3 linked regions of the Cricetulus griseus genome follow. The protein of the gene in region 3 purifies or fractionates together with the protein of the main gene of each other region. This does not show direct contact. Links are inferred from orthologs where the notes say so. Each region holds a gene or a part of one and is shown on either strand. Other genes may lie near its edges. The genes, in order: Flnb, Hspb1 and Isg15.

Evidence for each region.
Region 1: the proteins of Isg15 (region 3) and Flnb purify together in Homo sapiens (affinity purification with mass spectrometry; 3 studies listed by BioGRID and IntAct, with this or other methods). This does not show direct contact. The link is inferred for Cricetulus griseus from reciprocal best matches to the Homo sapiens genes ISG15 and FLNB.
Region 2: the proteins of Isg15 (region 3) and Hspb1 purify together in Homo sapiens (affinity purification with mass spectrometry; 3 studies listed by BioGRID, with this or other methods). This does not show direct contact. The link is inferred for Cricetulus griseus from reciprocal best matches to the Homo sapiens genes ISG15 and HSPB1.

What each region holds. Positions count from the first base shown.
Region 1 is NW_023276807.1:75,740,851-75,744,998, reverse strand, and holds the start of Flnb (filamin-B), read right to left. Parts: upstream 2,866-4,148; coding exon 2,574-2,865; intron 1-2,573. UniProt on the Homo sapiens protein: Connects cell membrane constituents to the actin cytoskeleton. May promote orthogonal branching of actin filaments and links actin filaments to membrane glycoproteins. Anchors various transmembrane proteins to the actin cytoskeleton.
Region 2 is NC_048597.1:114,890,616-114,894,070, reverse strand, and holds Hspb1 (heat shock protein beta-1), read right to left. Parts: upstream 2,214-3,455; 5' UTR 2,062-2,213; coding exon 1,674-2,061; intron 1,051-1,673; coding exon 987-1,050; intron 872-986; coding exon 682-871; 3' UTR 559-681; downstream 1-558. UniProt on the Homo sapiens protein: Small heat shock protein which functions as a molecular chaperone probably maintaining denatured proteins in a folding-competent state. Plays a role in stress resistance and actin organization.
Region 3 is NC_048595.1:121,481-124,690, reverse strand, and holds Isg15 (ubiquitin-like protein ISG15), read right to left. Parts: upstream 1,902-3,210; 5' UTR 1,748-1,901; coding exon 1,745-1,747; intron 1,221-1,744; exon of another isoform or gene 1,099-1,220; coding exon 607-1,098; 3' UTR 558-606; downstream 1-557.

The sequences.
Region 1 (4,148 bases), on a different chromosome or scaffold from region 3:
TTTAACTCTGGAGCCCTATCACAGCCCAGTGGGTTAATCTTGTCATCAAAGGCCCCATGATCCCTATTGCATATGAGGCTAAGGTTCAAATTTTGGGTATCAAGCTGCCACTCCAACACCCTGGAACTGCAAAGTGTAGGCTACATCAGCCCTTTAATCCGGGAGAGGGAAGGGAGGCTGTATTGTTTTCACCTCTGACACTAGAAAGAAATTCACTCAAAGTTCAAATTCAACAAAGCTTCATTCTAGGCCCAGTGTAGTGTTTCCAATCTTTAAGTAGGGACACTAATAATGACCACAGTGAAAGTAACAACAGCAACCATAAGACCCTCCCAGGACTGCTTGGAAAGATCATTATCAGAAGGATATTAATTACTATCAATTTGCTATCCTGGATATTCAATGGGAGTACTCATCAGAATACAACACACAGTGGGTGGCCCTATAGAAAGTGCCATGGTGAGCATAAAGTGAACAGTGAATAAGCAAACCCAAGTCCAAAGCAGGCGACATTTTATGGTTGGGTCATTACCTACAACATCCCTAGACATAGCAAGAACATGCCTTTGGCTCCATCTCCTCCCTCAGCAGTCTGGGCCCCTGGCAAGATGGGAAGGTCTCCAGAGAAAACCTGTTTGCTAACAGATCTTTCTGGAAAGCAACTAGAAAGGATTTGTATGTGGTCACACCCTCTAACTTAGGAATATCACTTGGGGAATGTAGTCCAAGAAATATTTTTAAAAGACAAATAAAACAGTACAACTTGTGAAAGTCTACTGCAACAAGCTGGCCATGGGTGACAGACCCATATCAGATGAATGGAAGGTATCTCTGGGATGTTAGACAAAGGAGACTCAGGCCTCAACAGGTTCGTGGCTGGAAATCAAGAAGACCAATTAGACAACTGCAGGGGACCACTGAACAAGTCCAGAATGACACTCACAAGCTTGGAGCTGGCTGTGGAGCCATGCTAAAGGCAGCTGCCCATGAGTAAAAAGCTGATAAATTAGGCAGTCCTTGATTTTTTTCTGGTGCTATGGTTTCTTTTTTAAGCGATTCTATGTCATGTTTAACTCCTGGTTTAATTTAAAAAAAAATTGTTGAGTTAATTAAACAAACACACAACTTTGTGTTTGAGCTCAGCCAGGCAGACCTTAAGGTTCATTCCTCATGGGGGAAAAAAAAAAAAAAACTTCCTGTGGAATTCTGCAATTCTGAGGTCCTCCCTTCTCAGTATGGGAGATGGGAACCCGGAAACCATGCCTGGAGATCCTGCTAGGAGGGCAGGCTGGTGTTGTAGCTTTCTGGACTCAGGAAGTAGGAAGCTGACCTACCTGTCAGCACAGGTGTGGGGAAAGTCCAGCATGAGGCTGGGAGGAGGTTCAGTATAGAGGAAACCCCTTTCCCCTGGAGAAAGTCCGACAAGCCACACCCACCTTCCTTTCTGTCATTGGAGTCACTATAATGGCCTTGTTTCCTCAGGAAGAAACCCCAGCCTAAGTAACCCCCTCCATGGACACACAAAGTGGAGTGCGCACACCCTCTGCATACGTGATACTCTGCACACCCACTGTGTTCACAAAAATCTTTACATACGTATGTGCGCACGGCAAAGAAGCGAGCCCTCACATATACTACAATTCACTTGTTCCTACGGTCACGAACCTCTTTAGAAAACCTCCAACTACTCCAGACTTTAATTCTCTAGCCCCGAGACATTAGGAAAGAAGCCAGACTCAAACGCCTTCTCAGGAAGACCCAGGGAAGGGAGTGGGACAGGGAAGAGAAAAACTGTCTCCTGCTTTAGTTCTTAGCTAGATCATACTTGCGGTGACCTTGGGCAAGCCAACTAGCCCTCTAAACGTCCACTCTTCTGTAAAATGGGCCCTAGGACATCTCAGTCCATGGGAGATTAAGTATTGAGATAATTTAGAAGGCTGTGGCCATACAGAGCTAGTTAAGCCTTCTTCTACAGACATTAATTACTATCACCACTAAATTATCTCAACCTGAGGCGACCCGCCACACTGAGCCAGAGGTGAGAAGTGAGAACATTCCCCTACTCCCAGGGCCCACACCCATTCCGGTGTTGGAAGGGGAGAGGAGAGTCTCAGGTCCTGTCTCCACCTAGGCGGAGAGATCCCACGCCAGAGAGTGAACAGTCGCTTCCTAGGTCTCCCAGACTCCCAGCCAACGCCCTTTCAACCTGGGCGGATCACACTGGGCACACCTGGCTAGCAAGAAGTAGGGATTTGGTATTTGACTCCAGAGCTCTGCCACCAGGGTCAGCAGATGATTTCCCTCGAAATCCCAAGGGGTCCCGCAATCAAATCTGCAGCTACAGCTGGAGGTTCTCAGTGCTTAACCCACCCGCAACACTGCAAGCAGCACCGCCAGGCGAACCCCAACGAGCAATCACGCCAGGTCCCAGCCCACAGATGGCACCGAGGAAAAGGCCTAGGTTCCTAGATCCTAGGCGCCAACACCCAGCCCGGGGAAACGATGCGAGGTGGGGCGGGCGCGCCGCCGGTACCCCGATTTCTGCAAACGCTGGGCCCGGACGCAACACTCACCGATGGACACGAGCTTGATGCTTTCGTGGTCCAGGAACTCCAGTGCCACCGACACGTTCTCCAGCTTCATCTGTCGGAAGGTGGGCCTCTGGTGGTACTTGTGGTGCATGCGCTTCTGGCTGAGCACCTCGAGCAGCGCGATAAGCCTTAACCCGTCGCTGAGGTCAGTCTGCAGGTTCCCGATGCGTTTGTTCACGCACTTGAGGTGCTCGTTGCACCAGCGCGTGAACGTGTTCTGTTGAATCTTCTTCCATGGAGCGTCCTCCGCCAGGTCCTTCTCGGTCACCGGCATCCTGGAGGCGGAGAGCGCACACAGAGGCAACGAGCTGCAGGGACTGATCTAAAAAGCCCCAAGCACACAGGGAGGGGGAAACCGAGGCAAGTGGGAAAGCGGCTCGAACTCGCTGCTACCCAAGCCGCAACAGAAGCTGCTCTGCCCTGGTTCGCCCCCGAGCGCCCAAGTAGCCTGGCCTGGCGCCTGCGCGCTAGGCTGCCCCGCCCCCGAGGCTCCGCCCCGTTCAGGCCTTTAAAGAAGGGGACTTCTGAGCTGTGCTCGCCCTCTATGGCCCAAAGCCTGAACTACTCCGGATTGTCTCCTTGGTTTCACCAACCTGATGTGATGATAGCCAGCTAGAAGAAAGAAACCTGGGAAAGGCCCAGAATCAGAGCACTTGCAGATGCAGGGGACTAGACGGAAGGGCCCCATGGAGAGAATGTGCAAACCATCTGCTGTTTCAGTGAGAGGGAGGCGCCCGTTCTCCGAGCCTGCAAGGCAATGGTGAATTAGACACATTGATTTCCTTATGTCAAGAAACTCAACCTTAAAGTCTAATGCCACACACACTGTTGTGAAAATGGTAGCAGTGGTGAAAATGAACATTGTTTTCTATGGATATTAGTTGTCTTTTACTGATGTAGCAAATTACCAAAACCTGACGTCAAGAATTTCACTTTTTTTGTTTGTTTGTTTGTTTGTTTTTCGAGACAGGGTTTCTCTGTGGCTTTGGAGGCTGTCCCGGAACTAGCTCTTGTAGACCAGGCTGGTCTCGAACTCACAGAGATCCGCCTGCCTCTGCCTCTGCCTCTGCCTTGCGAGTGCTGGGACTAACGGCGTGCGCCACCACCTCCCGGTTCCACAATTTCTTACTTTGCATCTCTGTAAGTTAGATGTCCCATCTGTGCTTTAGTGAGCCAAACTGATGTCACTGGCCCAATCGGTGTATTTCTTACTGAAATTTCTGATAAAGAATAGATTCTTTTGCCTTTACAGGTTCTAGAAGCTGTGTCCGTGCTTTGGTTTATGATGCCTTCCTTATCTTCAAAGCCTGTTAAATTGAGGCACAAAATCTTTCTCATCCTGTTACCTCCTTAGTTCTCCATAGTCACATCATCCTAGAACTCTCTGAAAGGTCCCCTTGGTTGTACTTGGCAAGCTGATTAGTTCAGAATGATGGGGGGAGGGAGGAAGTTCGAGACAGGGTTTCTCTGTATTGCTTTGTAGGTTGTCCTGGAACTTACTCTGTAGACCAGGCAGCCTCGAACTCTCAGAGATCCGCCTACCTCTGCCTCCGAGTG
Region 2 (3,455 bases), on a different chromosome or scaffold from region 3:
TAACCTCTGAGCCATCTCTCCAATTCCCCATTAATTTCCTTTTGAGACATAGTTTTCATGTGTCCCATGCTGACCTCAAACTGGCTATATAGCCAAGGATAACCTTAAACTTCTGATCCTCTGTAATGCTGGACTTACAGGTATGCGTTACCATGCTTTTGGATGTGTGTGTGCAAGCTGGGGCGGGGGTGGGGGGCGGTGTCAAACAGTGCCTCATGCCATACAATCACTCTTGTGAACTACATCCCCAGCTCCTGTTTTTTGTTTTGTTTTGGAGACAACAAGTATGTGGCCCGGGCACTCCTGGAACTCACTCTGTAGTCCAGGCTGGCTTCAAATTCACCATGCTCCTGCATCAGCTTCTGGGTGCTGGAATTACAGGCATGCACCATCATGCCCAGCCCCACCCTGGTAAAATTTTAATCTCCAGATTATCATTTTTTTCCTTCTTCCTAGGGAAATGTTAGGCTGAACCCAAGAAGGGGCTGAGCCCATCGCAAAGACACCAAAGGAGCACTCATCCCTAGCCCGCCAGAAACACCGGGGTCTGAGACGGTGGCAAGCAGTAGCTTCCAACTTTTATTTGAGAAAAACAGAAAGTACATGTATCAAAAGAGCATAAAGACTGATAGAGAGGGGTGGCGAGTGATGGCTGTTGGGGATGCAGCAGGCTGATGGCTTCTACTTGGCTCCAGACTGTTCCGACTTCCCAGCTTCCTGGCCCCCAATTTGGGCGCGGGCCTCGAAAGTGACCGGAATGGTGATCTCCGCGGATTGTGTGGCTGTTTTGGGCAGCGGAGCCTCCACGGTAAGTGTGCCCTCAGGGGACAGGGAAGAGGACACCAGGGTGGGGTCCACACCGGGAGGCAGCCTGGACAAGAAGAAAAACAGGACAAGGGTTACACATCCCTCCAGATCCCGGCCCCTCTGTTCTCCTCCCTGGGTCCGCTTTCCTCCACCCAGCCACGCAAGGAACCAGAACTCACGTGTATTTCCGGGTAAAGCACCGGGAGATGTAGCCATGTTCGTCCTGCCTTTCTTCGTGCTTGCCTGCGGGTGGGACAGAAGGAGGTCAGAGACAAGCCTCTGCTGTGTGGTAGCAGACCCCACCACCTGCTAAGGAGTGGCTGGGACTCCAAGGCAGCACACACACGAGAGTGCGGTGAGATGCCTGACTCCCTGGAGTCATCTTAAAACTTTCCAGAAAGTTCGTTTCTGGGATTTGGGATACTGGGCTTGGCTCTGATCCAGGCTGGACACCAGCGCAGGCGCACTCAGAGCTGTGTGCCGGCCCCCTCCGTGGCTGGGACCGGGGACACTGGCAGGAGTCCTGGCACTTCCTTATTTGGGAATGGGGTCTTCCAGAGGGTGCGTTGCTGTGCGTAGAACCCGGGGCTTCCCGTAGGCCAGGCCAGGCTCTGCCCTGAGCTATACCCCCAGCTGTTGGTCCTTATCAGCGAGGATGACAGGCTCTTAGGCGCAGCCTGCGCCCGGGTTCCGCAGCAAGGGAAGCTGGCCAGGGAGAACGACACTGGCCTCCCGGTCTCGGAGCTCCTTTCTAGCTTTCCAGGCTCCCATCCCTCTTGGCTTCACACCCTCCCCCCGCCCACCCGGTACAGCCACCGGGGCGCTCAGCCCGCTGGCTTCTCCCTGTGGGGACAAGGGGGACTCACCGGTGATCTCCACCACGCCTTCCTTGGTCTTGACCGTGAGCTCCTCCGGAGCGAAGTGGTTGACGTCCAGGGACACGCGCCAGCGATCGGCCGTCTGCCGGATCTCCGAGACTCCGCTGCTCAGCTGCCGGTTGAGCGCACGGTGGAAGGCGGGCGCGGCCAGGGGCGCGGCCAGGGCCACCGCCGCGGGTCCCTCGGCGGTCGCGGCGGGCAGTGGGCGCACGTAGCCGGGCCAACCAGCGGCGCTGAACCACTGCGACCACTCATCCGGCAAGCGGGGCACCCCGAAGGCTTGGTCGAAGAGGCGGCTGTGGGCCGGGTACCAGTCCCGGAATGGTTCCCAGCTGGGGCTCCGCAGCAGCGAGAAGGGCACGCGGCGCTCGGTCATGTTCTTGGCTGTGCGGGTCAGGGCAGATGATCCGAGAAGTGCCGAACTGGAGCCCCGGCCGTGCTTTTATGGGTGTCCAGCCGGGTATTTTTAGCAGGCGGTGCTTCAGGTCTCTATTAATGGCAATGACCGTCTAGGGGCCGGCCCTCCCCGCTGCATTCCTCCCCCTAAGCTTACAAAGGGGACAGGCAGGCGGGGCCAGGAAGGTTCTGCCCCCATCTGGAAACTTCTCTAGTTGAAGAAAACAAATGACTGTAATACCGGTAGCTGGAGCTGTTCCCACTGTCGGGCATTCACTGCCTGGGCTGAAGGGCGGTGGCCTGCGGCCCTGTCCCATCCTTCTTTTGAGACTACGGTTGGAAGTTAGGTCCTTTGTGTCCAACTGGGAAACAACTGAGTCTGGTCTGAACCAGAGGGACGCCTGTGTAGACACACACATGCCATGCACACCTGTGGAGGTCTCAGGGCTACCAGCAACAGTCAGCTCTCTCCTACCATGTGTATCCTGGGGAGCAAAGGCTTGGTGGCAGGTGCCTTCGTCCACTGAACTATCTGGCCCTGATAGATTTTTCTTTCTTTCTTTCTTTCTTTCTTTCTTTCTTTCTTTCTTTCTTTCTTTCTTTCTTTCTTTCTTTCTCCTTCCTTCCTTCCTTCCTTCCTTCCTTCCTTCCTTCCTTCTTTCCTTCTTTCCTTCCTTCACAGGGTCTTTTATTGACTCTGGAGCTTGCAAACTGGCTGGGCATACTGGAGCCCCATACTGCCCTCCTGTCTCTGTAATTGCCCCACCCTTCCAGCTCAGCACAGGAATTAGCCGCACAGGTGGCCACACTCAGCCCCCTCCCCCAAACACAGGGTTTCTTTGTGTAGTCCTGACTGTCCTGGAACTCACTCTGTAGACTAGGCTGGTCTCAAATTCAGAGATCTGCCTGCCTCTGCTGGGATTAAAGGCGTGCCCCGCTATGACTAGCCAGATTCAGCTTTTATATAAGTGCTGTGTGTCCGGTACAAAAGAAACTCGGAACAAAGAGCTATCTGTCGTGCCTATTAGCATCCCAAAGCGGCTTGCTGGCCTCCAGGCTCATGCAACATCACAAGTACCTGTTAGGGAATGCTGGCTCTTCTCATCTCACCCTCTACCCTAAAGTTCTCCAGTTAGTGGGCTTCTCGCCCCAGCTTCCCATTGCCCTATAACCCTCCTATTCCACCTGTGCCTTCTCCTGGTCCTCTCCCTGTTTTCTCTTTCTCTCTTGACCCCCTCTCTCTTAGTCTCCTTTGCCCCCACTCTTTTTGCTTTCCTCTCTCACCTCCCCCACCCCAATTTGCTGGTCATGTTCAGTCTACTACTTTCTCTCTCTGCTCTGGACTCTTCCAGATGCTTCTGGCTGTTCTCTTCC
Region 3 (3,210 bases):
GTAATGGCCCTCTTTATAGCCCTGATGAGGTGTACTTGCTAAACACCCATGTCCTAAATAGCAACTGGTTGATGTGAGTAGGGAGGCCCTGCCCTACCCTTCTGTGGACTAGTGCTGGTGGGACTAGAAACACCCACAGAAAAATACAGCACCCTCCTTCACAACCCACCCAGGCAGGTCCGAGAACATTCCTTCACTATTTCCAAAGGATCTGGGGAGCAACTGGTCCCATTAGGAGCCTCATCCTATTACTTACAGACCTACCCCGACCTGTCCCTAAGCCAGATACAGAGATCAGGACTAGTTGTTGAGGGGCTGGATGAGTCTCAGAACTGGGTCCCAGAAAAAGTGTCTTTCTCTAGATGTGAACTACCCAAAGGGTTTGGAAGGGGAATTCTCTGACTAGGCTCTAACTGTGAAATCCTTGTCCCTTAGCTTGGCAACATAAGGCCTTGTCACAATGGATGGACTTGGGTTCTTTCACCTGACCTCAGCAGGAATGTAGAAGAGAAGGCAACTGATGGACATTTTTGAAGGACAAGCACAGGAGGCAGAACTTCTCATTGGATCACCTTTTATTACCAACATAGGCTATGGATAGAGGCCTCAGGCATAGCATACCCTCCTTACCCCCCCACCCCGAAGGCGCAAATTCATGAACACTATGCACTGGGGCTTTAGGTCATACTCCCCCAGTGGCTGTTGGTCCTCCATGGGCCTTCCCTCAAAGCTCAGCCAGAATTGGTCCTCCTGTATGTGCTCCTTCTGGGACACCTGCCTCTTAAGCTCTGCTACGGTCTGTGTCAGCCGGACCTCATAGATACTGCTTCGGCCCCGATCATTCCGAACCAGGATGCTCAAAGGGTTGTTGCAATTCTGTACAATCAACATGACAATGCTGTCAGGGCCCAGGCCCTGGCTGATGAGGGCAATGTTCTCTTGTAGCATGTTGCCACTTTCATGGGCCAAGCGTTGCTGGAAAGCTGGAACACCAGTCTTGTGGAAAATCTGCCTCTTCAGTCCCGATAACGTCATGGAGTTAGTCAGGGGCACCAGGAACTCGTCACCCCCCAGCATCTTCACCTTCAGGTTCCAGGTCTGCAGGCATCACATGGGTTTAGCAATGATTCTCAACCTTCCTAATGCTGCTACTCTTTAATACAGTTCCTCATGTTGTGGTGACCCCCAACCATAAAATTATTTTCATTGCTACTTCATAATTAATTTTGCTACTGTTATGAATCATAATTTAAATATCTGATATACAGGATATTCTATATGCAACCCTTGTGAAAGGGTCATTTGACCCCAATGGGGTCTTCACCCACAGGTTGAGAACCACTTTAAAGGTTTAAAGACTCCTCTGGCACCAGTACTGGTAGTTACTACATCTGAAGCACTGGTCACAGGACCAGTTCCCATACCCACCCCCATCCTCTCCTCCATCAGAGGGGACCATCCAGGTATGGGGATGATACAGAGGAGTCAGTTCTAAAGGACCAAACTCCTACAACCATCACATTTCAGTTTACCCACCAAGATATCCTTCTGGGTCCAGCCCTAAGGGATCTAGGGCTGGTAGCTGAGCAGACAAGGAACCTAAATCCCTCCCTCATAGTGATCTTTGAGCAACTATATTCTGTTTCCACACTGTGACTATTCTACCTCTTGAAGACCCTCTCAAGGAATGGAGGAAAGCCAACTAGAATGGAAACCATCTGCTCCTGCCCCAAATAGGACTCACCATGGCTGTAGGCTTTATCACTAGGTCCCCTGCAGGAACTGAGGAGTTTGCTTGTTGAGGCTTCTGGCTGCTCTCTCTCTCACATCCAGAGACAGATGTGTGAGAGGGCAGCTCTTTTAAGTGTATGAGCTGTGGGTGTCAAGGGGCGGAGTCAGAGCAGCCTTCTGTTTCGGTTTCATTTTCCCAAGGCATACCTTAAATGAATGGGAAAACCAAAACCAAAGCCAAAGGAAAAGAAACTGTAGCTGAGAAGAAAAGGGACTGGCTCTCCAGGGTCAAGATCACAACTGAGACCTGTGTACTATGAAACCCCCTAAATATCCAGCATTTCAGATCCTTTATAAGGCATGTAAAAGTCATAATAGGAACTAATAATAGGAAACTTATTTTTCATTTATCAGCTTGAAAATTAGTTATCTTGGAAAAATGCCACAATAATTAATTCAGAAACTGCACAAAGTAGTGACAATCAAAACTGCCCAAAGACAACAACTATTGGTTATTTGTTTAGGACAATAATTATTAGAATGTACTGGGGGGGGTTATAGGAAGCATTTTGTTGTTGTTTTCAGACTTCTCTGTGTTGCCCTGGGTGTCCTAGAACTTGCTCTGTAGACCAGACTGGCCTCAAATTCACAGAGATCTGCCCACTGAGTGCTGGGATTAAAGGCATGCACTTCGGCCACCACCACCATCTGGCCAGTAGGAAGTATTTCTATCCTAGGACAATTTATTAAGACCTTATTGTTTACATGAAGAGGTAATAATTGAGTCAGATGGTTTTTGAGCTAGTCCTTCTATGCAGTCCGTGCTGACTTCAAACTCACTATGAAACTGGCCTTAAACTGATCCTCCTTTCTTTCCTGTCCAAATCCTGAGATTACAGTTACACATGTTCTATGCCAATTTCTGCAGTGATGGGGAACCCAGAGCTTCATGCATGCTAAGTAAGTACTCTAACTACTGAGTTATATACTTACTCCTCAGATTTTTTCCTAAGGTTTATTTTTAATTATGTAGATTGGATATGGGGTGTGGGTTCAGATGTGCATATGTGAGTACAGATGCCCTTAGAGTCTAGAAGAAGGAATCGGATATATAAATTTTGTTTATGTATTTATGTTGCATGTATGTATGCATATGTGTGCTTGTACATGTGGAGGTCAACATTAATGTTGAGTGTCTTCTTCAATTACTTTCCACATAGCCATCTTCCCAGCCCAATAGCAAACATTTTTAAAGGAGTAGGATCTTATTTTTCTTTCCAATGACTATATGAATGAAGACAGCCCATTTCACAAGTTAACCTTAACCATCAGTATGGCAACCAGAGATGGGATGGAGTTCCTGAGGCCTCTTCCTTCTATGTCCCCTGCTTGTCTGGTTTTCTTTCTTTTCCTTCCTTCCTTCCTTCCTTCCTTCCTTCCTTCCTTCCTTTCTTTCTTTCTTTTTGCTTTGTTTTTCTG